Linked DNA regions of Xenopus tropicalis. The protein of the gene in region 1 interacts with the protein of each later gene in a pairwise test. Links are inferred from orthologs where the notes say so. Each region holds a gene or a part of one and is shown in the gene's direction. Other genes may lie near its edges.

Region 1 (4,087 bases):
CCCTAGGAAAGATGCCCCCTTCCTTCCCTTTCACAAACCATGGCAAATGAGATTTTGGACAGACGCCCAGACCTTGCTAAGAGGTTGAAGTCAAACCCAAGCATGTGCAAAATTACCTTGGAATTCTCATGTGAACTCTACCGTCTCTCTACATTTAGCTCCTTTCCAAGCAATACACATGTGTCTGAGCGCAACCTTGCAAAAGCTGGTTTTTATTACACCGGGCAAGATGACAAGGTCAAGTGCTTTACCTGCGGCTTGATGCTTGATAATTGGAAGAAAGGTGACAATGCATTTGAAAAGCACAAAAAGTTGTATCCCAGCTGTAGTTTTATTCAGAATGTCCCTTCAGTGAATCTTGGCGCATCTCTGTACTCTGCCTTCTCACCACCTGCCTCCAACAGTACATCCATGCCTGCTGCTTCTGCTGAAAATGACAAAGTTGAGGCAATCACTTTGAAATATAGTAGCATTCCCCAAGATCCAGTCACGCTAAGGGGCATTGAGGATCTGTCGCACGTCAGGATCAGTGAATACATGTATACAGAAGAAGCCAGGCTTAACAGTTTCCAAGAGTGGAGCAATATGTTCCTTACTCCTGCTGAACTCGCAAAAGCTGGCTTTTATTTTGTTGGGCCCGGAGACAAAGTCGCCTGCTTTACCTGTGATGGGAAATTGAACAACTGGGAGCCAAATGACAATGCCATGTCAGAGCACAGACGACATTTTCCCAATTGCCCCTTTGTGAAGTCCTCTACAAGGGTTTCCTCAAGGTTCAGCGTTTCAAATGTCAGCATGCAGGCCTCCTCGGCTCGACTCAAAACTTTTGCCAGTTGGCCGCCCAGAATTCCCATAAGCCCAACACGGCTCGCAGAGGCTGGATTCTACTACGTTGGTAGGTATTTGCCTTATTGGAATCCTATAACGGACATCCTTCCCAAACTAGTTGCCTTAGGGTTCGTTGGCCAATACATTTTGAGCATAAGTTTTACTAATTTTGTACATGCTGAACAGCCATACCTGGGTGCTTAGGCTGTCACCCTGTGTACAATGAGCCTTAGGTAGTTAACCATGTATTGCTTCCCAACCAAAGCAGTTAACCTGTGAGTGGTCGGTAGACCACAAATTACATTTATCCAAAGGACTGAAATATATTAATTATTTTTTTACCCCTGTTTAAAGGGAGAAATGACGATGTTAAGTGCTTTTGCTGTGACGGAGGCCTTCGTTGCTGGGAGTCTGGAGATGACCCATGGGTTGAACATGCAAAATGGTTTCCTAGGTTTGTGTCTGTAATATTCTCATTTACATTGATACTTGAACACTGAAACTGTATATCAAATGGAATTTGGCACGGTCAGGAAGGCTAGTTGTGTAAGCTCGCTTCATTCAGTTGGTGCAGGGGTTTTCAACCTGCTTAGGCTTAAACTCTTATTTGTTCTCAGACATGTTAAGGGCCACCATATCTCATAGCAAACAAACATATTCTAAAATGCCCAAACACCTTTTTGGTATCCATCCTGACAATTCACCGAGTGAATGGTTAGTAAGTAATTGGGAAGCAGAAACCCTTGTTATAACTTGCCAGCACTCTTGCCAACACCTCTAAATCATGTGTCACAGCCATTAGTCACTAATAAATGCCTGCAGCATACAGATAGTCAATTCTGCCTTTTACCAACATGTTCGTCTTTTAAATAGCATTTTGGTTATAACCTATAGTCGCGTTCTATTAAAACATATAATTTTTTACCTCCTTAGGTGTGAGTATTTGTTGCATATAAGAGGTCAAGATTATGTTCGAGAGGTTCAAGAAAGATATCCACATCTTCTTGATCAGGTAAAGATATTCTTATGGGGTTCTTTAAAAAGCTGTAGTATTTATCACAAATCTGGTAACGTTAGATGCATTTTGCACAGAAAAACACGAGGTTTAATGACACTTGATGGTTTTTTTTGTCTTCGTTAGTTGCTGTCATCTTCAGAAAACCAAAATGAAGCAAAGAACATACCCAGTAAGTGCATTAGTTTGATATTTATCTGTTTTCAGGAGTTGTTTATGCTGTGCTGTAATTCAGATAATGTTAGAAACTGTATAAATTGGCCAATATGAAAGCAAACTCCCTGTTGCTTAGGGCTCTGGCACACGGGGAGATTAGTCGCCCGCGACAAATCTCCCTGTTCGCTGGCAACTAATCTCCCCGAGTTGCCATCAGAGAGCCATCAGTTGCCATCCCACCGGCGAACATGTAAGTCGCTGGTGGGATGGCACACGCGGCGGCGCAATTTCGGCAAATCGCCGAAAATGCCTCGCAAAGGCAACTTCTGTGATTTGCCGAAATCGCCTGCGCAGCGTGTACCACCCCACCAGCGACTTACATGTTCGCCGGTGGGATGGTAGTTCGGGGAGATTAGTCGCCCGTGACAAGGGAGATTTGTTGCAGGCGACTAATCTTCCCCGTGTGCCAGAGCCCTTACTTTTATTCTAACCACAGTAGTGCTTGATAACAACAAACTTTAATGCTAAGTCAAGAATTACCACGAGAAATAGGAGAATAGAAATTACATTCTTTTGTTTAATATAAAAACTTGAAAGTTGGGCTATTTTCACTGATATTACCTTCCTCCTTTCATTAGAAACAGGGAAATATTTTTTCAGGGCTCCCTATCTCTCTCCTCTGAGAAGCAGCCTTTGAACAGCTCATTATCAGGGGCTTCTGAGCTGGTAATTAGTTTTATCAGGTCTTTAGGACTAGGAATTGCTGAAGTGAAACTGGCTTCATATTCTTTAGTGCCAGAAATAACAGAAACCATAGATACTGCTCGCATATGCAGTTTTGCACCAAATTCCGCTTAGTGTGACAATCTCTGTCGGGTTATTTTGAGGGAAAACAATACAATTTGCAGAGTTGCAAGTTTTTTTTTTTTTTTTTTTATTTAGTGGTGAATCTAAACTATTTTTACATTTATATTACAGTTATTCGATTGGGAACGGAGAATAGCCAGGAAGATGAAATCATGATGAGCACTCCCATGGTTCAGACTGCCTTGGAGATCGGATTCAATAGAAGATTAGTAAAACGAACCGTTCAAAGTAAAATTTTGACATCTGGGGAAAATTATAGTCAGCTTGATGATTTAATAAGTGATCTCCTTATTGCACAAGAAGAACAGACCGAGGAAGAGCGAAACAGACAGGCAGAAGAAAACTCATTGGGTAAGTGGGTACATTTAGATTTCAGCCCCAAAACACACATTTGAGCCCTTTAGTGTTTAAAATACTCCTTGGGTGACATGCAGTTGCCATTCATATCAGTGACAGGTAGCATTAGGGGGGACACTATGGTGCCATGTACATTACATTTCTAAAAGGTGTTTAAATTATCATTGTTCCTTTGCTTTTGCAGACGATATCTCTGTAATACGAAAGAGCAGAATGGCTTTGTCACAGCACATAGCTAGCCGAAGCATTCCAATCCTGGATTATCTGCTCTCTTCCAACGATATCACCGCTGCTGAATACGAAGCCATAAAGCTGAAAACACAGCCTATTTTGCAGGCACAAGAAATGATTGAAACTATAATAACTAAAGGAAAAACAGCAGTTCAGACATTGAAAAACTGTCTCCAGAAACACGATCCAAATCTCTTCAGACAACTATTCAGTAAGTTTATTAAAAAAGAAGTGGATACATATCTGTTTGAAAGACATCAACTTCTGGGTAGCTAAGGCAATTAGCAGAGTTTTGGCCTGATGAAGTTGTGTAGCACTGTGTCCAGAAAGGGTTAATGTTGTCTGAGAGGCCTTCCAAGTGGCCCCCTTTATTTGAGGGTTGGCAGTATATTTTGCCACTTATCACAGACATTTTGCAGTGGAGGTTGCATGAAGACCACCTGTACAAAATTATTAGAACTAGTCATACATCCTTCATGCAGTCACACTGGGCAATTTTGTAGTTGTGTCTTCATCCTGTTGTTTACTATTGCCTCTACACATATGTGTCCATTGCTAGACCAACTGGTTGGATTATCCATTATTATGAGATTATAACATATTACAAGTGTACAAAGGTATCATTAGTGTTCT
Region 2 (4,877 bases), on another chromosome or scaffold:
ATATTAATAACACTGCCGAAAAATGCTGTTTTTTCCTCCGCAATATTACCAAGATATGCTCCTTTCTTTCATAAGTAACAGCTAAAACACTAATCCATGCCCTTACCCTTTCCCGCTTAGATTACTGCAATCTCCTACGAACCGGCCTCCCAGACTCCCACCTCTCTCTCCTGCAATCAAACTTAAACTCTGCTGCCAGGATCCTCCTGCTCTCTCCAAAGAGGCAATCTGTTCAGCCCCACAATCGCACTAGCATTAAGCAAAGGATAGCATACAAAATCCTTCTGCTAACCTTCAAAGCCCTTCACTTCTCTGCTCCTCACTACATTTCTTCACTGGTCTCTCTGCACATTCCTGATTGTCTCCTCCGCTTCTTATAGAGCCTCCACCTTTTTCCACACCCACTGCTCTCTCTCGCCTTAAACCTTTTATATCCTGTTCCTTACCTCTGAAACTCTATCCCTGAATTCCTCCATAGTGAACACTCACCCACTCTCTTTAAGAAAAAAACTCAGATGCTACCTTCTGGAGCACTAAAACATTATTTTGTCTAGTCTCGCGCTTGTGCACTCCTACCTTCCAATTTTCCATTCAAGCTGGAAAAAAGGCACAGGTTATATAAGTAGATAACAGATAAGCTCTGTAGAATACAATGGGAATCTATGCACCTCATCTGTTATCTGCTGTGTAACCTATGCCTTTTCTCCTTTTTTTTAGTTTGCACAGCAACTTTGTTTATAAAAACTACAGTAGTGTATCTAATGCAAACACATAAATTTTACCAATGCAGGGCAATATTACATAATACATGAACTACTTTGAAACACTCTAAATTTTTGGTGCTAGTTACGGTGGCCATACACGTAACAATTTTGATCTTTCGAAAGATCGTTCCCACCCTCCATGGAGGGTAGAAATAACAGAAATTCTACCTCCTTCTGCCGATTCAGCCCTTAACATAAATTTTGCCCGGACGGCATCAAAATCTTTTAACGTGGCTGATCAACGAGTCAACCGATATCCGCAGCCTCTTACAATATCGGTGGCCTCATCAAGCCGCAAAACACGCACCGAATCGCGCCCTGAGGCCGCCCCATTCACAGTGGAAAGAAGTCTCCCATTGCTCCGTATGGGAGCAAATTTCCGGTGCAGCGGGACGGCATGCCACCCCTAAATTTTTGCTGCCCTAGGCCAGGGTCTTTGTGGCCTAGCCACACACCCGGGCCTGATAAGTGCGTGTACAGCTAGCTTTAATCTTCTCACCCCCTGTAAGATTAAACGCATACTCTGCTTGCCTCCTAACTCACTCTTAACTGCTGGGATATGAAGAGACAACCTCCCTCATCCTCCCTGCTTTTCGGCCTCCTGTAGGAGCTCCACTGTGGCTGATCCTTTGAAATAAGATACAATTCCCCGCTCTCTCCCTCACCCAACGCCATCCCCCGGTCTGATTTATTCATTCTTGTAGTTTCAAACACAGCGTGGATCCAACACCAGCTATGCAGTATCATGCAAACTGCTAACATCTTGTACTTGAGAACCGGAACGGTTTTTATGTTACTGCGCGTGCGCATTTTTTTTTTCTTCAATATATATATATACTTTTATATCTATTTCTTCCGCCATGGTAACCACTGACCAATGAAAGCAGCTTCCGCCTCTCATGTAGAGGTAGTCGAGTGCCTGTTGTCAATGTTAGCCAGTGTCGACCAATTAAAAAAGTTTTTACCACTATAAGCCGCGCCTTATTCCAATCAGATTGAGAGGCGAGTCTAAAGATTTGATTGGCAGCTGAAGTAGCCAACGCGCGCTTTGCTCCACGTCTGCAGGATTGAGAAAGATGGTTGATGTTGTAGGTAAGTGAGGCTGCGGGTTTTCGCTTAATGGAAATGTGTGATTTTAATGTGAAGGTGCCAGGGAAGCTTTTGTTTTTTTTTTTTTAAATTAGTTAGTTGCCAATTGTCTTTAATAGCCATGCTGCTGTGTTGAAGAGAAGACGTCTCTTTAGGCAGTATTAGTGCAAGCTTTACTTGATTGCTGCTTATCCATGACTTCCAATATGCTGGCAAATATCGGAGGTGGCCTTAAATAGCAGTTCCAGTATAATGTCACCCGCATTCTATTTTCATCAAGGATTTCCAAGTTGAACCATACTACCAGCTGTTCTAAACTACAACGTAGTGTTCGAGTGATACAAGGCTTTGCCCCAACTGGATGTCTGATCAGTAATTACTAGTAATCTACTTGCATTAAAACAAATGAAGCCTTTATCTGTACTGCTGGCTTGACAGCCACGTAGGATGGATTTTAAAACCGTGCAGTTTAAAGGCAGAATTTGGCAGCAGTGTTAATATTAACATTATATCTGTAAACTTAGCTGACAAACAAAATGGCAGCATACATGCACAGTAAGGAGTTAGGCTTATTGTACATGCACATGTCACTTCAGGATGCTATTTCCTAGTGTGGTCATGTGATCATCCACCTGATCTCCAGGACTTTAGACCACCTAAGAACTAGCATATGCATGCAACTATTTGCTCCTATTTCACACACATGTATATATAATTTTTTTTAACACCAAGGCCAGCAAGCAGTATTTAGTGGTAGCTTCTAGATGTGCAAAGCTGGTAGAGACATACCCTAAAAGACTGGCAGCTGTAATTGCAGCAAAAGGTGGTTCTACAAAGTATTGACTCAGGGGGCTGAATAATTATGCACACCCCACTTTGCAGTTATTTATTTGTAAAAAATGTTTGGAATCATGTATGATTTTCGTTCCACTTCTCACGTGTACACCACTTTGTATTGGTATTTCACGTGGAATTCCAATGAAATTGATTCATGTTTGTGGCTGTAATGTGACAAAATGTGGAAAAGTTCAAGGGGGCCGAATACTTTTGCAAGCCACTGTATTTCCAACAGTGTCACAACTCACACAATACCTATCACATCCAAATAAAAGGAGAAGGAAAGGTTAAAACTATTTAAGCTTTATCAGAAATGTCTAAGTATAAACACCAATAAACACTCACAGTAATGCTGCTCTGAGCCCCTGTGAAAAGAAACATGTCATTGCTTTGCTTCTGTTGTTCACACATGGGCTTCTTTATCATACTTCCTCTCTAGCTAAAACACCATACCCCGGGAAGCCTGCCTGTGCAGCTCGCTTCTTTCTCCCCTTCTTGCTATAAACTGAGCCCAGAGCTATGACCCAGCCAGAGACTTAGTGCAGGAGGAATTGGAATTTATATCACACAAAGCTAATATAGCAGCTATTATCCAAAACAAACAGAGATAGCTTTTAGGGCTGTTCACTGAGGTATGGTAACGCATTCTACAGAATAAATATAGCTTTCTAGCTTGCACTATTGTGGCTAATCTATTGAGAGTATACAGTATCAGTAGGTTTCCTTCTCCTTGAAGTTGTTAGTCGCTGTGAATGCCACTATACACATACAAGTACTGTGAGGGCCAAACACTGAGATACATAGTCAAGAAATTTGACTGACTTTGGCCTTACAGCCTAAAGCTGGCGATACACGTGGCGATCTGACGATGTTTCGTGCGACCATCGGTCGCACGAAACATCGTCAGATGTGCCACACACCATTCAGGGCTGAATCGGCAGGTAAGGAGGTAGAAACAATAGGATTTCTACCTCCTTCTGCCGATTCAGCGCTGAAGGGAGATTTTGATCAGGCGCCTTCTATGGCGCCCGATCAAAATTTTCCAACTGGACCGATCGGCGTGTCGGCCGATATCAGCAGCTTCCTGCGATATCGGTCGACTCGCCGACATACCATACACGCACCGAATATCGTACGAAACGAGGTTTCGCACGATATTATCGGTGCGTGTATGGCCACCTTAAGCTTGCTTACTTTTCTAAGCCCATATTTCAAGTTTATACAAATCAGCCTGCAAAATCTGGTCTTCCATCACCTCCTATTGGCTAATATTAAAGCCATATCTGACCTGCAAAAAGAAAGAAACTTTGTAAAATACAGTAATTAAACATTTTCTATGTTTTAAAGTTATTTGTAAAAGCAATTGAAAACAGTTTTTGGTTCTATTGCTCCAAATCTTTAAGACACTTCCACTGCTCTGCATATTGATTGTACTTCCTTTATACACCTTTAAAGTGGACCTGTCACCCAGACATAAAAAGCTGTATAATAAAAGTCCTTTTCAAATTAAAGAAAAAACCAAAATCATCTTTATATTAACACATTCAAACCCATTATAAAGGCATTTAAAAATCCCAGCTGTCAATCATATATTAAGGCATAGAGGCGGGGCAGACAAGTACTTTAACTTTCAATTCAGCTCACACTTTCCCCCTCCCTCCTCACCATCTAATTGTGTAGCCAATGCATGGGCCTGGGCATCTGGTCCCCCATTCTGGCACATACACACGATTTTGGGGTGATACAAAGCTTGCCTTAATAACTGTGTCCACAAAATTGCAGCTGCCTATTTGATGTGATTGTGTAATTCCAGGACTGAAGGAAACAAGATTTATATTACTTATATAGTGTAAGTGAAGTTTATTTTGCTGAACAAACACAATAGAAAATAATTTAAAATTATTTCTTAGGGTGACAGGTCCCCTTTAATCTTATTATGCTTATTTGCCAGATATTTTTTAATACTGATTCTGTTTGCTGTCTTCATATTTTTTTTTTTTTTTTATCTACGTCTGTCTTTTTCACGTCTTTTTTAATATGCAAGGAACTCATTTCAGACTCCCTCTTTTCTTCTACTTTTATATAAAAATCAGAATGCTAAGCTGATCTGTTACCATGGAGAAATTAGGCATGAGTTTTGGAGGTGGCCCAAGTAAGAAGGAACTTCAGGAGCAGGTAGAAACTCAA
Region 3 (4,087 bases), on another chromosome or scaffold:
GAAGGCAGGCAATAAAATCAAATCTGAATTATGTGCCATAAGGCAAAAAAAGGGTTTCAGTTTGCCAGAAAGATGGGTGTTCATCTTGGGTGAAAGACTAAAGCTAGCCATGCACACACCGATAAAATAGTAAGAAACTGCCTTTTGTATGGTTTTCGGACAGTGTGTAGGCTCCAAATTATCACCCTGATCATTTTCGTACCATAGCGATCAGTCATTTAGTCAATTGGCAAGTTTAGAAAATTTTGGACGGTTAACTATAAAATCTGTGCATGTAGTGTATATCTGATATCCTTGGGGGAGCTACAGTGCATTTCCAGGAAGTCACTTTATCCTACAATTTCCGTCTGAATGTTAGTTTTAGATTGTTGCGTTTAAATGCATGATCGATACACCTTAATACCCACTTACAAGATGTGGGATTCCCAGTGAGCAGATTCTTTGATTCCCCTTATTTCTGTGTCCCACATAGAAATAGTCATAGATGTACATTCAATTGCTGTTTCCAAACTGTATTGCCATGCAAAATATGTATCATACCAGTTTACAAATGTATTCTTTTGTGACTGATTCCAGAATATTAAACACGTAGTAATTAAGTGATATAATTTATTTATTTATTTTTTGTGCTGCTGTCCAGGTCGAGTCCTCTCCATTTGTTGAGCGCCTCCTTAAGAAAGGCTATGAAGTTTTGTTCTTAATTGAACCAGTTGATGAGTATTGCATCCAGGCCCTGCCAGAATTTGATGGGAAGAGATTCCAAAATGTTGCAAAGGAAGGCCTTAAGTTTGATGAAAATGAAAAGTCAAAGGAGGCACGGGAAGCATTGGAGAAGGAATATGAACCACTGCTGACATGGATGAAAGAAAAGGCTTTGAAAGACCAGGTATGTGGGGTTTTTTTTTTATGGAAAGAGATGCTACAAATTTCCCATGCTTGCATAACAATCTTTTTTTTTTTTTTAAGATTGAAAAAGCAGTAGTATCCCAGCGTTTGACACAATCTCCTTGCGCACTAGTAGCCAGTCAGTATGGCTGGTCTGGCAATATGGAAAGGATAATGAAAGCTCAAGCATATCAGACAGGAAAAGATATTTCCACAAAGTAAGTCCCATTATGTATTGAAATGACCTTCTGTTAGATACACAGCTCTTTTTGTTGGCAGCTAGCTAGTTTTTAGCTAAAGGTAAAGGATATCCGCCTAAAGTCAGCCTGCACAGATGAAATTACATTTGTAAATTCTGCTTGGCATGTGGGTGTGGTACATAAAATAACAATTTGACAACTGTGGGCATTGGGCACAAGTTTTTGAAAATATATGGGTGGTTGAGTTGGTTAAATGATTAAATTGCTAACTGTATAAAACTTCATTTTAGTTATTATTCAGGCCAGAAGAAGACATTTGAAATAAATCCAAGACATCCTTTGATCAAGGAAATGTTGCAAAGAGTAAAGGTGAGCTTTTTTTTAGTTTGTTATCCTTGTGTTTTGAGGCAATGTGTAATTGTATCATTGCACAATATGCTTTAAAAGCTGAGCAAGTATATCATTTTCTTACTATATCTCCATTGTTTTAGGAAAATGAAGACGATAAGACTGTAGCTGACCTTGCAGTTGTACTCTTTGAAACTGCCACCTTACGTTCAGGATATCATCTGCCTGATACTAAATCATATGGAGACAGGATTGAAAGAATGCTGCGCCTCAGCTTAAAGATTGACCTTGATGCTCAGGTAACTGCAGTATTATGAATACTACTATCTTAGTTTTAAGCACCATTCAACAAAACGGTTATATTTAAACATTTTCTGTACCCCGAAAATCATCTGCCTACTGCATGTAGATTTAAAATATTTTGAGTTCTGGCATAAACCGTGACACACAACCCTTTAGTGTGCTTCAATGGGCAGTCCCTGTTTGAACTACTGTAGCTGAAGCTGCCTGCCAAATGTATACAGTTCCCATGATCACTGGGTTCAGAGTAGAAAAAGTACTGGCAATTATCAGTCACTGTGTTTTGTTGCCAGGTGTAAAGTTTGCAGAACTCTTATGGACTCATACTGGCTATTTCACCATGGGAGTTTACCCCATCCAACTATAGAGCCAGATTTAGGATTTTAGATAACCTTGGAGTTGTCAGCCTAAAGGGTGTTCAGATGCAAATGGAGTACAGGTATCATACGCCAGCAAGTACAATTCACATGTTATTGATTTGTTAATTTTTTTTCCTCCTAAACAGGTGGAAGAAGAACCAGAAGAGGAAGAACCTGCTGCAGATGATGCTGAACAGGATGAAGATGTGGAAGAGGTTGATGCCGAAGAGGCTGAGGAAAAAACACAAACCGAAGAAACAGACACACAGGTAAACTGCACATTGCTATCTTTTTATATGTTATAACTTTAAAAAAAGTCCTATACAAAAACCCAACCTAAAAAAGCAGAGCAGGGTACCTGGGTGCCATCTTCCCTTTAATAGAAACTGCTTCGGGTCTCACCACCAGTAAAGACACTGCTTGAGCATGCGCAGTTGGGGCTAGCCGGAAATCATTAACACATGCTCAAGCAGGGTACACTGCACTGCTCTTTTAGGTTGGGTTTTTCTATCGGGCCACTTTTTAAAGTTATAGGTTATGTGAGAAGGGAAGAGGGATCAATGCAGGCCAATTAAGGGGGCTTTTATACCTGGGGGGTGTAGTTCTCCTTTTAAACTCATACAAATTTTAAAAGCTCTATGTACGGTATAATAGATGTTTCCGCACAGAAAGGTGAAGCCAGAAAAATGTTGTAACAGAAACAACCCCCATCACTTCTGTACACACCTGTTGCTTTGCCTAGGGTTTGGGATGGGCAGTTAAGTTCATAGACCAAATAAGTCTGTTTTTAAACCCCCAACATCACTGCTTATATAGAGGTGGAGGAAGCACTGAGGTATCTTTTTGTTTTATAAACCTGTTCTAAATAGTGTTGGGTAGGGTTTCCGTGGTATACCAACACTTTAAATCTGTAAAGTGCCATTATGATTTTAAGGTCAGTGTAGTGAGGGGAACCTTCCAATGAAAACAGAACCAGACGTTCATTTATTTTGATTTAATTTTAAGTAGGCAGTTTGCTCAAATTTATTAACGCTTTTTTTTTTTTTTTCCCTTCTGCAGGAATCCACAGATGTAAAAGATGAACTGTAAATTCCATTCAGACGTCCACTTGGATCCAGGGACTTTTTTTGTTTTTGTGGATGGGAGGGTTTTTTAGTTTGGATTTTTTTTTTTTTTAACATTCCTCATGAATGTAAATTTGTACTATTTATGAGTATATTGATGTAAAACCTTTCATGTTACAATAAATGTTGAAAACGCCATACTGGATTTAGCGTCCAAAGCTGAAAAGGGAATGTCAATTTAAACTAGGAATATGAGCACTTCAGGTTTAAAAACCTCTTCGTCTAGAAGAGGCATTATGTTTTATATCTTTTTATCCTGTGAAACTGTCTGAAAATGATAACAAAGGGTGTCACCAATGGCACTGTCTTGAGACATGCTGAAAAATAGTTTAAGAAAACACTACAAAGAGCTGGTCCTGATGCATTTGTGAACTGTAAACATTCTGTAAATATAATTTTGTGGAAAATGGCACTGTTAAGCATAAAATGATTTAAGTGCAACAATCTGTAACTTTTTTTGGGTTACTGTTATGTGTTGCAGGCAGACTCCACAGCAGTTGACAACAATAAAGTTGAGGTGACTTTGTTTCTATAATGAAGAACAGCATTTCCTGTTTTTGAAATAATGGCTCTATATTAATCTGTGTCATTTTATATTAATATTATTTTGCCAGTAGTTGGCTGTAAGAGCACTGCAAATACAAATTGCTGTCCAGCCTTGCCCCAGTAGTGGGTTGATGGGAGGAAATAGCAGCATTCAGACTCCAGTTGGCCTACCATGGGTTATCATAGGTATAATAGCTGTTCCAGATGCTGCTTTGTCTATAGCTGCAAAAGTGCATGTAGAAATTCCATGGAAATGATTATGTATGTATAATTTTCCCTAAATCAGCCATTGACTAAGCACCATAAAGTTTTTTTTTTATTAAAA
Region 4 (3,973 bases), on another chromosome or scaffold:
TAGGTTACAGAAAGGCACATTTTAAGCAACTTTTCAGTTAGTCTTCATTGTTTATATTTTTTGATTTGCTGCCTTCTAACTTTTTGAGCTTTCAAATAAGGGTCACTGACCCAAAGAACTATTGCTCTGTGAAGCTACAGTGTTATTGTTACTTTCTAAATACTTATTACTTAATTTTTCAATTATGGGCCCTCCCCTATTCATGTATCAGTCTTTCATTCAAACCACTCCCTGGTTGCTAAGGCAATTTGGATCCAAGCAACCAAATAGGTGCTGGAACTCCAAGCTAACAAAAAAATGAAATTATAAAACTACAAATAATAAAATAATGAGAATATTTCTCTCTACGTCATACTAAAGGGTCACTTAGAGGTGGGCAACCCCTATCTATTTATCTACGTTCGTTAACTTGCCCGTATGTTACTGGGGGGCCAAGGACAATGCTCCAGAATACGGGGTACACCTCAGCCCCCTCGGAACACGCTGAATATAGCCAATAATATACCCATGACTTACTTGGCCAGACCGGGCCGCCCCATTGGTGCCGGTGTTCCTCTGAGACCTCCGTTTGCCCAACTCCGGGGACTCGTTCTGGGGCTCCAGACTCAGAAACTCGGAGCTGGCATCGAGCAGAGAGTCTTGCTCCCGGTAAGAAGGCCCAGCGCCGTTAGCCGTCCCCGTAGAGCTCCGAAGCAGCACCATGACCGCTCCCGCCGCTGATTACAACCCTCACAAACGGATCAGTCGGACGGGACAGCGATTCCAAATTCTGGCGCCACAAAACTTCCACAGCCTGACGCTCTCCCAGATCATATCCCTCCGCCGACTGTCTAAACTATGGTTTTCCTATTTCCAACACCAAGCGCCTTCCGTCAGCGCAGCTAATACTCTCTGCCCGTGTAAACCGTACGTACACGTGTATCGGCCGCGGTGCGAGCAAGTCGCTCGAGGAACTACTACATTCGGTTACACGTATACCGCGGAGGGACACGTTTGTTTTGGCGCGTCCGCAGTTTGTTTTTAGCGCGGGAACTAAAGGGCGAGTTTTGATTGGCTGAAACGTGAACACGTGTTTTACCCTTCGGCCGATGTTTTCGGCGAACGCAGGGACTTTACAGCGGCGACAACTGCAATATTTATAGTGACGTTGAATAATAAGGATTCGTTGTGTGTGGAAAAAGTGTTTGACTTGTGATTAGACAGTCGGGACCGGTGACGGCTTAAAGCCAGCTTAGGAGGGAGAATATAGTGGGTAGCAGTTTCCGGGGGAATGTTTAGGCTGTAGCACCCGGTGGCTTCCTTGTTATTGTGACAGCTGAATGGAAGGCGGCTGTGGTGCAGGGGGAGAGCTATGGAGCAGGCAGCCCAGGTCCCGTCCCTATTGCCGGGGCGCAGTGACTGTCACTATACCGGCTGCTACTGGTAAGCTTGGGGGGAAGGGCACAACTGGCCCTATAGGTTTATGGGTCCCCTCAAAACCAGCAGCTATGAGATTTTCTGCCTGCAGCCCTCCTACTCCTGTCTAAAGGCAATTCCATAATCCCCCCTATTATTATTATTAACATTTATTTATAAAGCGCCAACATATCCCGCAGCGCTGTACAATACCTCTGTAACACTTGTTTGGCTATAATATGGCCAACCCAGGCTAGTAGCGTGCTGTAGAGCTAAGTGGGAGGTATTAATGGAGCTGAGGGTGTTGTTGAACTACAACTAGCTGAGGTAGTGTGGTGCAATAGATAGAAATGGACGCCAGAGGATTCTTATGAATGAACTGGATAATACTTTATTTGTCCAAGACAACGGTATTCAGGGTATTCAATACTCAATAGATGCAGAACAGTATGCAGTTATACAGTTGATGTAAAATTGATAAATAGCAGAAATATGATGCTCCCCTGTGTATCCCTTCTCATCAAGAGGTTTGGGCAGGTAGAACAACAACAGCGTGATAGGTAGGAAAGCTCACCGGCATAGTCCCATGCTCTGGTGGAGGTTAGGGCAAGGCATATTTGCTAACCTATTCCCCTAGCACTTCTGTGTCCCTAATCTAAGGCCAGTAATGCCTGTTAGGAAGACTACTCCTTTGCTATTATCCTGGATGGAGCAAATGGCTGCTCGTTCTATATAGTTCTGTCTGAACTCACCACTCCTAGAGGGTGCTATGAAATATGCTGCTATACTGTCTTCTCCTCATTCACGGGGCCCTGTCCCCGACTTCAGATGATATAAGTGGCTTTTACTGGGGCCGTCTGCACCCAGGCTCAATGGACTGATGCCTGAGACAGGGGCAGCCAAAGAGGAAGACACTCCCTTGTGCAAGACACTATATAGTCTGCCAAGGGGAGTGGTCAACCGGACTAAACCTGTAGGGGATAGCTTAAAGGAACAGTAACACCAAAAAATGAAAGTGTATAAAAGTAACTAAAATATAATGTGCTGCTGCAACCGTAGCTATAGGCCGACTGCAGGGCTCGGAGTTGCCACAAACTGAGAGAGAAACACCTGTGTCTGTCGCCATATGGAAACCTAAATAAAATAAGATAAAATGAGATCTTGGAAATATTAACACTTAGGGCCAGATTCATTAAAGTATGACTCACGAAATCCAATAATTTCTGATCATTGCGAAAGTCACAAAATCTCCTTTCGTTTGAATACGAAAATTTCGTACTTACAATCCGAAATTTTTGTTTTGAAACGATCGTTTGTGATAGTCATGAAATTTTCGTATTCAAACGATCGTAAACGGTGGGAAAACCTTTCTGACTTTGATCCTTCAGTGCATGATTTTGGAAGCATCGCATAGGGCTCAATGGCACTCTGCAGCTCCAACCCGGCCCAAGGAAAGTCTCCCATAGGGCTCAATGGCACTCTGCAGCTCCAACCTGGCCCAAGGAAAGTCTCCCATAGGGCTCAATGGCACTCTGCAGCTCCAACCCGGCCCAAGGAAAGTCTCCCATAGGGCTCAATGGCACTCTGCAGCTCCAACCCGGCCCAAGGAAAGTCTCCCATAGGGCTCAATGGCACTCTGCAGCTCCAACTTGGCTCAAGGAAAGCCTCCCATAGGGCTCAATGGCACTCTGCAGCTCCAACCGGCCCAAGGAAAGTCTCCCATAGGGCTCAATGGCACTCTGCAGCTCCAACCCGGCCCAAGGAAAGTCTCCCATAGGGCTCAATGGCACTCTGCAGCTCCAACCCGGCCCAAGGAAAGTCTCCCATAGGGCTCAATGGCACTCTGCAGCTCCAACCCTGCCCAAGGAAAGCCTCCCATAGGGCTCAATGGCACTCTGCAGCTCCAACCCGGCCCAAGGAAAGTCTCCCATAGGGCTCAATGGCACTCTGCAGCTCCAACCTGGCCCAAGGAAAGTCTCCCATAGGGCTCAATGGCACTCTGCAGCTCCAACCCGGCCCAAGGAAAGTCTCCCATAGGGCTCAATGGCACTCTGCAGCTCCAACCCGGCCCAAGGAAAGTCTCCCATAGGGCTCAATGGCACTCTGCAGCTCCAACCCGGCCCAAGGAAAGTCTCCCATAGGGCTCAATGGCACTCTGCAGCTCCAACCCGGCCCAAGGAAAGTCTCCCATAGGGCTCAATGGCACTCTGCAGCTCCAACCCGGCCCAAGGAAAGTCTCCCATAAGGCTCAATGGCACTCTGCAGCTCCAACCCGGCCCAAGGAAAGTCTCCCATAGGGCTCAATGGCACTCTGCAGCTCCAACCCGGCCCAAGGAAAGTCTCCCATAGGGCTCAATGGCACTCTGCAGCTCCAACCCGGCCCAAGGAAAGCCTCCCATAGGGCTCAATGGCACTCTGCAGCTCCAACCCGGCCCAAGGAAAGCCTCCCATAGGGCTCAATGGCACTCTGCAGCTCCAACCCGGCCCAAGGAAAGCCTCCCATAGGGCTCAATGGCACTCTGCAGCTCCAACCCGGCCCAAGGAAAGTCTCCCATAGGGCTCAATGGCACTCTGCAGC
Region 5 (4,087 bases), about 49 Mb from region 1:
GTCCAAAGAGTACTTAGGTCTCGAGCATTCTTGTTAACAGGTCCCATACCTGTGTTTTCAGAATTGCTTTAATCACACACTAATTATGTTTGCAGTACTGTATTGGAGCAATAGAATAGTAATTTAATTTTCTTTCCCTTCTGTCTTTTTTCTAGCTGGATGATGTTAGTATAAAAAGTTTTTGTTGTTTTGTATGCTTCGAAAACTTGCAGTTTGTTACATCAGGAGGAGAAGAAAATTTGCTTTTAATTTGTGTTTCTGCAATTATTTTGATATCCTTCATTTTGCATAGTTCATAGCTGATGTATGATGATGTTCTGAAATGGTATTTTGCAATTCAGGATGCAAGCCTTACTAAAGAACAACTTGAGCATGCAGAAGTTGCACTCAAAGAAAAACAGGATGAGAACAGGACCCTAAATGTTCTCGTAGACCAGCTTCAAGATGATCAAAACAGACTACGCAAAAAGATTGAAAAGCACGAGAGATCAGGTAACTTCCTATGAAATGACACTAGAGTTATATATTATATTTCTGGTGGCAAGCTATGAGAAGATTAATTAAAGAGATTGAAGGGAGGCAGAGAATATGATATTCGAAGAGTAGAGTAACAGCTTTTTACTGTGGCCCGTTGACCAATGGCAGCAATGTCTAACTATTGCTGTTGGTATAAATCAGGGCTGTCCAACTTGAGGCCTGCAGTCCGATTGTGGCTCTCTAAGGTATTTTTAAGGCACCCTGTTCACCTATGAGCTTTATTGTCTGCTGTGTATGACATCATTATTTATATGTGAGCAAATGCCTCCTCAGGGGCCAGAAAAAACGCACATCAGGTCAAGTGTGGACATGGCTAATTCTAATTACAATGGGAATCTAAGCTAATAGAGGCAATTTTTGAATTAATTTTCTTCTTGCAAGACTACATTCAAGCCAGACTAAATCATAGGCAGGGACAAAGGTCTGTTGGGTAGCATTTGTGCATTTCTTTCAAGTGGCCTACCCCTGGTTTATGGCTATAGCAGTAAGATGGAGTAAGTAGGAGGTGGAATGATTGCTTGGCATACAGATCTGTAATAGTTGTAGACTTGAGGACTGAGTTTGGTGCAATTAGTAATTGTTTCTCTTTGTTCAGTAGTTGTTACCAATCTCCTTTCTCTGACATATGATACTCTCATTAACCTAGAGAATTATAAGTTACATTTAGTAACTTAGTTTGTTAATTTTGTATTAATGTAGACCCACCAAGCTATGGTAATTATTTAATTGAAGTCAGCTATATTGCCTAATGTAACCCTGTGACTTCCACAGTCTTTTTGTTTAAGCTTTTTTGGTTCTAACATAAATTGGATGATCATGGCTCCTTAGTAATAATCACTCTGTGAAATGATAACTTCCTTAATTCTGCTGATTTTCAAGTGTTTTTTGTTGTTTTCCCTCTCATTTCATTTTGTTATTACAATGAAAATCATGTTTTAATTTTCAAATTAGATTCTAATCTTTTTGCGCCTATTTGGTGAATGGAAGCGTGCAACTGGTGCTGTAAAGATTGTATTTCTCTTTTTCCTTTTATTTAGTTTTGACAGTGCAATTCACTTTCTTTGGATATTAAAGGAGAATCAAACCCTTGCACTCATGCTGTACAAGGGGTAATACTGACCCTAAAGGTTTTTTAATCTTTTAAGTGGAGGACAATATTTTTCCTTGTTAACAGAAAAGAACACAGTCTTAGCATGTGAGAAGAGTAATGCTATGGCTCCTTCTAGACTTGACTCCTTCATCAAATCATTGGAAGAGGAACGAGATCACTATAAAAGGGAAGCAGAAAATCTGAGGAAAACCCTGCGACGTCAGAGTCTTAGTCCCAAGCGAGCTAATACCAATACCCAGGTTGGCAACAATGTTAAAAACCCTTATCCACATACATTGTTATGTATTAATTTGTAAATAACAAGAATTAGATTGCTTCCTTTGGAGACCATCCAAAATATTAAAGGAGACATATCATATAAAAATTAAGAATGTACCAGTGAATCATACTCCTCTAGATATAGAAGGATTGTGGCTAATAAAGTTGTGTTTCGGACTGATTTATTGAGAAATTCCACCAAAACCCCACTAGCCCCGCCCATCTGTTCCACTTCCTGCTGGCTGAATTCTCTGGATGTGCAGGGGAGCCGGCGGCCCTCGGTACAGTGCACTGTAGGATAGGAACCAATCAGCAGCTAGGCTGACCTAATAGGCTACTGAAGACTGTCTTTGCTTGTGTGAGTGCAAGGCTGTGATTGGTTATCCCCCTCCTGCTGTGCTTCTGGCAGGGACCGTTAGGAAATGCCCACCCCGGACAGAGAAGGGTCTATAGGGAGCTCAAATAATGGGGCCATTTGTACAGATAGGATTAATATTTAGCCCAAAGTGAAACCAGCACCATATATTATTCATAATTGCCTACAAATTTAGGGGTTTTCCATTTATCCAATATGTTTCCTGTAAAACTTTTTAGAAAACATTGTGCTTGCTTCATGCGCGCACCTATTTTTTGCAGAGTCAGTAAAAGTAATTTGTGCAGGAAGGCAAAGGTTGCCATACTGCTGTAACTTATAGCAACCACATTGACAGTTCGCTTAACTAGACGTTTTAAAACAAATAAACACACAACATTATCTGTGTTTTTGTAAAACCCTTTAATGTTGGTCTCTCACATATGATATGATAGGTGGAATTTTCCCACCCCAAAATCCTTATTGCACCCTAGTCAATAAGATGGTGTGGGGGAATGCAGTCTTATTTTAGCTTATAGCAATTATACATTACATGACATATTTTGTAATACAGGTATGAGACCTATTATTGTTAAGTCTACTAAAAAATCATTTGAACATTCATTAAACCCAATAGGATTGATTTTGCACCAAAAAGGATTAATTATATATTGGTTGGGATCAAGTACAAGGTGCTGTTTTATTATTACAAAGAAAAGGGAAATCATTTTTAAATATTGTAATTATTTAACTAAAATGGAGTCTATGGCAGATGGCCTTTCCATAATTCTGAGCTTTTTGGATAATGGGTTTCAGGATAATGGATACTATACCTGTACTAGTATTTATTTCAGTCCTGTCTTTTGTGCTCCTAGTTTACCCTCTGTTGTATGTATTCCAGTTGTTACAGTTAGAGTCAGAACTCAAGAAGACCCTTCGGGAACGAGATGAGTTGCAAACAATGCTAGAGAAATATGAGCGTCACATGGCAGAAATTCAAGCGAATGTAAAAGTACTGACATCAGACCGGGACAAAGCCAACATGCTTTACGATCGGGTAACTACTGTGTATGACTATAAAAAAGTAATGCCTGGAACAATAAGACACCATTAGAACTTTTATAATTCAGGGTCCTTTATTTTGCTGAAGAAGGAAATGTTTATACTGCACTAAAAAAGGAAGGAATGTTTATACTGCACTAAAAAAATTCTCAGTGAAATCAGCTGAATGGTTTCTTGATTAAATATGTATGGTTACATTTCATTCTATAGTAGGTTAAGATTAGTAAGATAATATATGAAGATGTAGAATGATTGGTGGTGCTGAACTCAGTTCAGTTTTTAAATTTTGCGGATCAAGGAAAATTTGACTGGCATTTAAACTTTATAAATAAAGGCCATCTGGGTGCACTTCTAGTGTTCACAAACTTAAATCATGATAATTCTTGGATATCTGATGAAACCTATTTTATGAGGTACATTTAATAGGGTCATCTGTTAATGAATTGCAGATATGCTATACTGCCCACATTTTATATAATATTCACAGCAGCACTGGATGATTGGCAATGCTGGTTACACATGTTTCAATATTGTAATCACAAGCTGGTCATTTCTTGTGATGGAAGTGTAGGGTTATTATCGAGTGATAACATTAAAGTCAGTTAGGAATACCAGACCAACAAATGGTGCAATTAAGTATATGTTTTGGTTTATTTGCAAACCATGAGCTGCACAGCATAGTTATTCAACTGGGCAGCCAGGTGTAACTAGATCAGTCCAAAATAGTGTTTGATAACAAATCTCAAAATATGCAAACATTGGGCCCT
Region 6 (4,830 bases), on another chromosome or scaffold:
AAATCTCATGAGTTTTGGTCTCATCCGTTTTTATTTTTTAGTATATTAGTATATGGAATATCATCCATACTGATTATATTGTGACAAAATATTCAGATTTTTCACTTATTCCAAATAATCAGACACGTAAACCACAGTCACCTAAACCCTTCTCCCTCCAAATGAAGGAAACATAGAACATAGAACAGCCAATTCGGAGTTAGCTAACGTTTTACATCACTACATATCAGCCTTTGTCAATGTCTTGTAACCAATCAGGACTCCTAGTAGCCTAAGGGGCATGTGAATACCAAAGCCACTATTGGATGAGGAAAGAGCCTGTCAAACCACGCCCATGATCTTGGCACAGCTTCAATATCATTGTATCTGCATCCACCTCCCACCCCCCAGTATGCAAAGGTTCCAAGAAAAGCATTGCTGCTATTGGTTGAGCTTAAAGAGAACCTGTCAGTTTTCAGTTAGCAATAGGAATGTGTTTAGAGTGTTAAGTGTAATGACATAACTATAACTTTAATAAAAAAAAAAATGACCAGAAGCAGTAGTTTTAAAACTGTGCACGAGCTGACTTTCAGTGATACTGTGTAAGGCACCTCTCCCCCTGCAGCCCCCTCCCTGTGCCTGTGACCGGAGGATTTTTGCTAAGCCCGGGTAATGCTCTGTTTCCTCTCTGCAGCCCTCCTTGCTTTGCCTGTGACCGGAGCCGGAGGAGTTCCCTCTGCAGCCGCCCGGCTGCCTCTAACCGGAGGAGTTCCCCCTGCAGCTGCCCCCCACCTGTGAATGGAGCAGTTTCAATTAAACTGCGTAAGGCTCTGTTCCGCAGCTGCATCCCCACCCGGTGCCTTCTACATTACGCATTAGGAAGGCACCCGGTGGGGGATGCAGCTGGGGAACAGAGCCTTACACAGTTTTATTGAAACTTCTCCGTTCACAGGTGGGGGGGGACTCCTCTGGCTCCGGTCACAGCTGCACAGGGGACTCCTCCAGCTCCGGTCACAGGCAAAGCAAGGAGGGCTGCAGAGCATTACCCGGACTCAGCGAAAATCCTCCGGTCACAGGCACAGGGAGGGGGCTGCAGGGGGGAGCGGTGCCTCACGCAGTATCACTGAAACTCCTCTGCTTGTAAAGAGGAGGGTGTAGAGATTGCACAGTGCTGGCTGAAGTACAGTAAACTTGGAGTCCTTCCCTACTAACAATAAAAAAAAAACCTCTCTTCCATGTTCTCTGTTCTTCGTTCTCCGTTCTTCTCCTGCACATTCAAACGGTTGAGAGGTAATCTCAGGAGAGTTCAGCTATATTTTTTTCCCATGGGGCTTTGCATTCTGACTTTTGAGAAAGTCGGCTTGTGCACTCTAAACACATTCCTATTGTTAACTGAAAGCTGATAGGTTCTCTTTAAGTCTTGCTGTGCTCCATGCAACGCCCATCGAGCTGGCTTAGTTCATTTGCTGAAAAAGGGGAGTGTGTATCTGTCAATAGCAATGTAACTGCATCCACCTCCCAGCATTCAAAGCTTCCATGAAAAGTGTAGCTGTGATTGGTTAAGGAAACAACAAGCACTACTGTTCTACATACGCAACGCCCATTACATTGGCTCGGTTCATTTACAGGAGGTGGGTGTGCATCTGTCATATGCTTGCTTCCTCTCGCGGTGTAAGCTTATAGATGATTCTAGCTGATACCTATTGCTGCTTGCACCATCTGGGACCCTATTTCTTTGATTTTAATCAAGATATTCAAGCCTGAACATTAATCAAGGTGAGATGAAATCCTGTAGCTAAGGCTGCGTCACTTGGTAATGCTCGTATTTGTTAACCCTTTTCAGTCATGCATACCTTTATCTTTTTCATGCATAAAGCTAGGCTGATTGTCCAGACAGCCTTAATGCTTTGACCTTTAAAGAGAAGCACAGTAAACCTGTTGGATTTATTTAATACATTTTAACAATATTAGACACTGTGGAGTTCCATAGCCATATAAAAGCACAAGTTCAAAGGCCAAGTGCTTTTGACCAGGACACAGGACATCGAGGTGACTCATATTTTACAACTGGGGATAGACTAATTTTTATAATGTAGTCATGTAACAGGAAGACTAATCAATTTTAACTGATTACATTACTAAGCACCATTTATAAAGTATATATTACAATATATTTTTTTGTATCTGAAATCTATTTACATGAATAAACTTATTCAAATAAAACTGTTCCCCCTTTTATGCTGGAGGAAATTAACAGGTATACAGCTATCAGACTGACTTCCAAGTCAATTTCTGCATGGCTATTTTGTGTAATGTTGTCAGTGTAAACGCCACGCTTGGGGCAATTCTGTCATAGGGAAAGTAGCAAGTGTAAACACTGGCAGCAAAGAGTGAAACACACACAGGATTGTTTTGGTACCAATATGGATTCATGCAGCTTAGTTAGAATCAAGTACAAGGTATTTTTTTTTTTATTACAGAAAAAAAAGGAAATCACTTGTAATTCGGAGATTTCTGGATGATGTATTTCCGTATAATATATCCTATACCGGTTAACATTTCTTAATTGGTTATATATTTATCTTTAACATAATGTTTTCATTATGGTTTAATTCATAGCACCAAACTGAATCCAAACTCATGTCACTTTTCAGAGCAAATTTTTTTTGAATTTTATTAATGTTGAAATTGGTGTTTGGTATTAAGCCAAACCTATTGTTGCTAATCTAGCAGGAAGTGATTAGAATTCTGAGAGGGCTGGAAGTTTTGCAGCAATACCATTTACAAGGATTTCATCAGAGCCTTTCATCTGCAGAAATTGTTAATCAATTTTAGTCAGGGGCCCTGAGTTCAAATCCAGCCTGGACACAGTTACAAAAACATACAGGCAGGTTAATTGGCCCGTACTGAGAAAATGTGTCAGAAATTCATAAATAAAGGATTATATGTCAAGGGTGAACTAAGAATATACACAACTCTAAGTAGTAACAAAATTATCTGTGGGGGAAAAAAGCTATATTGTCCCTTTACTCAGCCCCTGTATAATAATATACTACTAATATAACCATGAGATAAAGACAAGATTAAGGGAAAATGTGTGTGTGGGGGTGTGGGGTTCATTGTATATAGATCTTTATCAATACTAACGAAGGTTGCTTGAGAAAGGGGTATAAACAAAAATAGGGGTAAAAACAAAATAAAGATTAGACCTAAAAACATGGATTAATCTGAGAATAAAAAGAACAGGCAGACCCTATATTTAGTACAAGCTCTGTTTATTTGGGTCCTGTCCAACATATGTGTGATGGCACACATGGAGGTTTGTCAGAAATGGGAAATCTGCGCTACCTTTCCCAGCACTTTACGTTCATCAATATGGTGTTCTCAGCAATAAGGGCCATGGTCCACAAGGAGATTAGTCACCCGTGGTTGAATCTATTAAATATATTAAAAATATGACCAGAGGTAAATAGATAGGAGCACCATACGGGGTTTACCTTAACATGGTATGGTGGCTTACCAATCTTATGATCATAATTTTGTAAATAAAACCTCTGTTTTTTGCAAATACTTGCACTAGCATAGATAATTTACTTATGAAACGGGACCAGGGAATGTGCATTGATCAATCCCCCTCTCTTTTTTGTATTCTTAATGTACTGTTGCCCTGCACCAGTACAACTGGTGTATTTTCTTTAGAAACATTGAATGGCTGCCCCAATGGCTACACAGCAGCCATTTATATAAACTATAGTAGTCTTTCTGTAGCAAACATGCAAATTTTACCAGCGCAGGGCAACAGTGCATTGTATTATAATTACTTAAAAACACTTTCATTTTTCGATGTTACTGTTCCTTTAAGGATGAGTTACTGAAATACTTTGCAAAAAAAATTGGAAGCAGATACCTTGATGCTGCCCTCTGCTGTCGTTTTTTTGTAATATGTATGACTCTTAGGAACAGAACACCAAGAGGTGACACTTTATAGAAGCTGCAGGGAAATTATACTTGGCTAGGTACAATCGACATAAAAACATTTAATGTCACAGCCTCAATATTTAGTAGTTAGTATTATTATTGACAAGTATTTATAAAGCACCATTTATAAACTTATAAAGCACAGTGTGCGCCTATTGCTGCACATTTATCACCTTGAATGTATGTATGATGCACACATTATCAAATAATACATTATTTGTGCCAGATGACACCCATAGAACTTCTGGGGACTTTCTGCAGCAGTGTAATTTGACCCACTACAACTGTAATAATTAGAAAATTGTGTGCTTAACACTACCACTAGTTCTCTGTAACCTAGGACATGGAATAAAAAAACCCGACCAGCTGTGCAGTGCTGTTTCATAATTAAGCTGAGTTGAATAAATCATCCCTTCCAACAGCACACATGTAAACCTATACTGGCCTATGCATAAACTTACATACATAAACCATATATACCCACCTCTATACTAACTGTAGATTTTAGTATCACAATAGCCTTGGACACTATGCTTGTTCAAGAACTCATCCAGGCCCCTCTTAAAGGAGACATATTGGATAAATGGGAAAAACCCTAATATTGTAGGCAATTATGAATAATATACGGTGCTGGTTCCCCTTTGGGCTAAACATTAATCCTATCTGTAACAATGGCCCCTTTATTGGAGCTCCCTATAGATCCTATCTCTTCTTTGACCATGTTTGAAATGAAGAGTGGGCGTGTCCTAACGGTCCCTGCCAGAAGCACAGTAGGAGGGGGAGAGCCAATCACAGCCCTGCAGTCACACAAGCAAAGGCAGGCTTCAGTTCCCTATCAGGTCAGCCTAGCTGCTGATTGGTTCCTATCCTACA
Region 7 (4,087 bases), on another chromosome or scaffold:
ATTCAACTCTGAATGCCAGTGGAGGGTGGGAACGATCTTTCCTGAGACAAATGGTTGCAGGAAAGATTGTAATTGTAAGGTGTATGGCCACCTTAAGGCTAACTGTTCAACTGATTTCCATGTTGCTTTCCTGTAGGCGACACATCTGTAATGGCTGGAGTATATGGCCCTGCAGAGATCAAGGTCAGCAGAGAAATCCATAATAAAGCCACATTAGAGGTGATCCTCAGGCCCAAGACTGGGTTGCCTGGTAGGTGCTTCCATCAGAGACATGTTCTGTTTTTCTGAAGGCAAGAATTACATCTAACAGCTAACAGACAAATACTTTGCATCATTGCAGTCTAACCACAAAAAAGTTGCCCATGTGACATGTTTCTGGTTTTCTGTACTTAGACATTTCTTTTCACTTTTTATCTACCTGGAATATCATTCTTTTTTTTTTTTTATTCCCCAAAGCTATCCAGGAGAAAAACCAGGAGCAGCTAATTCGTGAAACATGTGAATCTGTCATCATTGGATCCTTGCATCCTAGAACCTCAATAACCATTGTGCTACAGATAGTCAGTGATGCTGGATCTGTATCCTAAACCCACTTTGATATTCTAGCTTTTGACTATTATAGGCAATAACAAATTTTATTGTGTTTTTTATTTGTGCCTACTGTAATAAGCACAGGGGTCAGTCTGTCTTTGAAATTCATGATTTGCTGTGCTAATAAGATGTAAGTGGTGAAATCATTTATGTGTACATTATGGAACAGCTTTTGCAAGACTGAGATACACAATCTACTGCAATTTGTGGATGGCCATAGGAGGAATAATTGAGATTCCCTTTTTACAGAAGGATGAAGGGAAGATATGCATCTGGTTAGTATTTTAAACAGCTTAGTTTGACTGAAAATCTCACAAACCGCAGATAAACAAGGTGCAAAATACATGGAGAACATCTGCTCAAATGACTTAGTAATGAGCGATTTTTTGCCAGGTTTTGCTGCAAAAAAACATCCATAGACATCAATGGCTGCAAAAAAAAAAAGTTACACAGTAAAAAAAAAGTCTCCCATTGACTGCCATTTAACTAATTTTTTCGGCAAAGCAAAAATGGACAGATTCACTCATCACTTGGCTGCAGGAATGTAAAATTGCAGTTTGACTTGTGTAACTTCTGTAAGTTGTGGATATTTTTATTTACCCACTGGATGGCAGCAATGCGTCACACTCCAACTATCAACTTAATCCTTCTTTTCTCTGTTTTGTTTTACTGCCTTTTACGCCAGAAAAGCCCTTTTTTCTTTATTAATGGTATACATTAAGAGCATCCATTGATTAATGGGGAATGGTACTATGTTTTTTTTCTTCTCTGTATTCAGAGAATCATGAATAGTTTCTACAGTTTATCATTTAGTGATCAGAATGCATGCATCTTGAGTTCAGGTTTTGTCAGCTGGCAGCTTCATTACCCCAATATTTTTGGGTAATCGATGACCATAAGGTAATTAACTTGGTCTTGGCCCAAAGGTAGTGAGGAGGGAGGTGAAATCTCTAAATAAATCTCAAATAAATACTTTATTCAAATCACAATAGGCATGAAGAAGAAAACAGGCCTCACTTATCACTTAACTGACAATAAAATCTAAACTGGGATTTTTAAATCATATGGTTTCTGTCAGGGCCACTTGGCTTAGAAGGTTCCCTGCAAAGGTTTGCCTTGGATGAACCACTTCTTCATGTTTTCTGTAACCCGAATAGCCCAGCAGGCTAGGTGTACAACATCATGAATCCTGAAAATACTCCAAAGGTTTTTTTTTCCCTTTGGCTAGTCATCAATGAGCAGATTATCAAAACCCAAGATAGAATTAAATCAAAATCCCCTTACTAAGCAGTAAAACATGCTTGGCCCTTGACTTAAAAATGACAAAATGTATTCTTCTGTCAAGTTAAAAGATTGGGATTTTTCTGACATAAAAAGCCCATTATCTAAAGATTGACCTTAATATTCACAGTTCATTTACTGCCTCAGGCTTCTAAGGTATTCCCACTTTTTATGTCCCAGCCTTCCAAGTGCAAGAGCTCTCCATCCTCTCTAAATAACTAATGGGATTTGACTGTACAAGGAGAGTGCTGTGACCCAGGGTTGTATGTATGGGTGAGCAATATTTCAGTTTGCAAAAATTGTGTTTATGGCTTTTATTTGTAGTACAGGTATGGGACCTGTTATGCAGAATGCTGGGGATCTGGGGTTTTCCAGATAAGTGGTCTTATTATAATTTGGGTCACCATTCTTTAAGACTGATTAAAAAAAAATTTAACATAGACCCAATATGATTGGTTTGTCTCCAATAAGGATAAATTATACAATAGGATCAGGTACAAGCTACTGTTTTATTATTACAGAGAAAAAGGAAATGCTATTTTAGCATTGTTGTACTGACTTGCCTTTAATAGTTTGTTCCATGTTTCTGAAGCAATAACAATTGTGTATACTTTACTTTTAACATAAAGCATGGGTACTTCAATTCTAAAAGTGCTGAACTCAAAACGTAATGACTTTGTTTAGCTATGTGAACATTCTGTCTTTCATCATGCTGAATTGCTCACCAATATATATATATATATATATATATATATAATATATATAAATTTATTTATTTATTTATTTTTTTTCCATGTTTTGTAGGTAAATATTGCACTTCAACAAGAACTTTCTTCCAATTCTCATGGAGGGTGCTATGGTATATTTTGGCCTTACCTTTTGGTCTGTAACAAAAATTCAGAGCAATAAAACAATGGGCAAATTGGAGCATAAATGAGTTTTTCCTCAAAATTTACAGCATGAACGATTACACAAGCTGTGGGTTTCCCCACTATTCATTTGCTGTGCATTGCTTGTATTTTTCATTTAATTGATGTGGTGTGGGAGGGAAGCTGAGTTTGGTTGCCTGCAAGGCCAAGTTGTACTTACAATCTATCTAGTACATTTAGGATTTTTTGTCTCAAAGCTTTTTAATTCTACCCCCATTTAGTTTGAATGCAAATAATAAGTGCTTAATGCTAATTCATGCGGGGAGTTTATCACTTGCCTAAATTGAAGTGTAATCTCTAGTTTTCAAAAATGAGAAGGTGTCCATTCCCATCGATTTGCTGTGAAATGCTGGAGGCAGTTTAAAGGACTTTTTGTTGTAGTGTTCTATCTTGGTGCAAACACCTTCTGCACTGTGCAATAGAGCAGTTTTCTCCCAGCTCCTATAACAAATTCTTCTAATGCCTACATAGGACCTGAAGAAAAAATTCATCATAATTCAAAAATGCAATGGAACAGAAATTCTTTTTATGGCGATAAAAAATCTCTTGGTATTAGTTGCATTGCAAAGAAGTCTGAACAGCAGTGCAAGCTTAGTGCATTCCCAATAGCCCAAATAAAACCTTCAGTTTTTCCTCTATTGTAAAATAAAAAGAAAATAGCTTACTACATTCAAATATGGCAGTGTGCTATTGCCCCTGGAGAAATATGTGTTAATGTATAAGTCTAGGCTGCTTTCTTATTGCATCCATTATACCGAGGGGTGCAAAGGAATTACTGAGGCTCACTGAGAGAAGTGCTTGTTAAAGATTGCATTTTCAAACATATCACAGCCATGGGGTCAAGGCATAAAACAGAAAAAAATGTAATTTCCTGTTTTTTCAAGGCAGGAGATGGAAATCATGGGAATGGTAGCTGTAGAAATAAGAAGAATATGTTAGCGTAGTGTTTTCCTGGTGCTCTGTTGAATGTAGGGCATAAAGATCGTATCAATGGATTCATTGTGTCAGCAATTACTCCAGTGTACTTACTGTAAAAAAAGCAAGGAAACACACTCGTTATTAGTAGGAGATTTCCTTTGCTCATTTTGTGTTGTTAGATGGTAATTTAGATTTTATTTTAGTTATTTATAACCCCCCCTTTCAAAAATAAAAAGTTGGGATGCTGTGTAAAATATACATTACAGAGAATGGGATAATCTGCATAACATTTAAGCTATATTTAATTATAAATAGTACAAAGACAACATATCAAATGTTGAAATTGAGAAATGCTATTATTTTCTAAA

Evidence for each region.
Region 2: the proteins of birc2 (region 1) and gcc1 interact in binary tests that used the Homo sapiens proteins (3 or more experiments, as listed by UniProt). The two-hybrid records come from large-scale screens. The link is inferred for Xenopus tropicalis from reciprocal best matches to the Homo sapiens genes BIRC2 and GCC1.
Region 3: the proteins of birc2 (region 1) and hsp90b1 come close enough for resonance energy transfer, tested with the Homo sapiens proteins (2 studies listed by BioGRID). The link is inferred for Xenopus tropicalis from reciprocal best matches to the Homo sapiens genes BIRC2 and HSP90B1.
Region 4: the proteins of birc2 (region 1) and wdyhv1 interact in binary tests that used the Homo sapiens proteins (3 or more experiments, as listed by UniProt). The two-hybrid records come from large-scale screens. The link is inferred for Xenopus tropicalis from reciprocal best matches to the Homo sapiens genes BIRC2 and NTAQ1.
Region 5: the proteins of birc2 (region 1) and tsga10 interact in binary tests that used the Homo sapiens proteins (3 or more experiments, as listed by UniProt). The two-hybrid records come from large-scale screens. The link is inferred for Xenopus tropicalis from reciprocal best matches to the Homo sapiens genes BIRC2 and TSGA10.
Region 6: the proteins of birc2 (region 1) and ppm1k interact in binary tests that used the Homo sapiens proteins (3 or more experiments, as listed by UniProt). The two-hybrid records come from large-scale screens. The link is inferred for Xenopus tropicalis from reciprocal best matches to the Homo sapiens genes BIRC2 and PPM1K.
Region 7: the proteins of birc2 (region 1) and exosc5 interact in binary tests that used the Homo sapiens proteins (3 or more experiments, as listed by UniProt). The two-hybrid records come from large-scale screens. The link is inferred for Xenopus tropicalis from reciprocal best matches to the Homo sapiens genes BIRC2 and EXOSC5.

The regions. Positions count from the first base shown.
Region 1 is NC_030678.2:162,208,723-162,212,809, reverse strand, and holds part of birc2 (baculoviral IAP repeat-containing protein 2), read left to right. Parts: 5' UTR 1-39; coding exon 40-895; intron 896-1,182; coding exon 1,183-1,282; intron 1,283-1,761; coding exon 1,762-1,840; intron 1,841-1,969; coding exon 1,970-2,015; intron 2,016-2,977; coding exon 2,978-3,217; intron 3,218-3,407; coding exon 3,408-3,665; intron 3,666-4,087. UniProt on the Homo sapiens protein: Multi-functional protein which regulates not only caspases and apoptosis, but also modulates inflammatory signaling and immunity, mitogenic kinase signaling, and cell proliferation, as well as cell invasion and metastasis.
Region 2 is NC_030679.2:89,148,209-89,153,085, forward strand, and holds the start of gcc1 (GRIP and coiled-coil domain-containing protein 1), read left to right. Parts: upstream 1-1,747; 5' UTR 1,748-1,856; intron 1,857-4,783; 5' UTR 4,784-4,805; coding exon 4,806-4,877. UniProt on the Homo sapiens protein: Probably involved in maintaining Golgi structure.
Region 3 is NC_030679.2:49,296,720-49,300,806, reverse strand, and holds the end of hsp90b1 (endoplasmin precursor), read left to right. Parts: intron 1-640; coding exon 641-886; intron 887-966; coding exon 967-1,103; intron 1,104-1,375; coding exon 1,376-1,454; intron 1,455-1,576; coding exon 1,577-1,732; intron 1,733-2,238; coding exon 2,239-2,361; intron 2,362-3,151; coding exon 3,152-3,181; 3' UTR 3,182-3,755; downstream 3,756-4,087.
Region 4 is NC_030682.2:139,824,858-139,828,830, forward strand, and holds the start of wdyhv1 (protein N-terminal glutamine amidohydrolase), read left to right. Parts: upstream 1-1,173; 5' UTR 1,174-1,351; coding exon 1,352-1,422; intron 1,423-3,973. Other genes in the region: atad2 (ATPase family AAA domain-containing protein 2), read right to left, coding at 517-702. UniProt on the Homo sapiens protein: Mediates the side-chain deamidation of N-terminal glutamine residues to glutamate, an important step in N-end rule pathway of protein degradation.
Region 5 is NC_030678.2:112,847,660-112,851,746, forward strand, and holds part of tsga10 (testis-specific gene 10 protein), read left to right. Parts: intron 1-341; coding exon 342-492; intron 493-1,711; coding exon 1,712-1,887; intron 1,888-3,159; coding exon 3,160-3,315; intron 3,316-4,087. UniProt on the Homo sapiens protein: Plays a role in spermatogenesis. When overexpressed, prevents nuclear localization of HIF1A.
Region 6 is NC_030677.2:79,129,504-79,134,333, reverse strand, and holds the start of ppm1k (protein phosphatase 1K, mitochondrial), read left to right. Parts: upstream 1-1,595; 5' UTR 1,596-1,755; intron 1,756-4,830. UniProt on the Homo sapiens protein: Serine/threonine-protein phosphatase component of macronutrients metabolism.
Region 7 is NC_030684.2:79,498,213-79,502,299, reverse strand, and holds part of exosc5 (exosome complex component RRP46), read left to right. Parts: intron 1-136; coding exon 137-250; intron 251-456; coding exon 457-578; intron 579-4,087. UniProt on the Homo sapiens protein: Non-catalytic component of the RNA exosome complex which has 3'->5' exoribonuclease activity and participates in a multitude of cellular RNA processing and degradation events.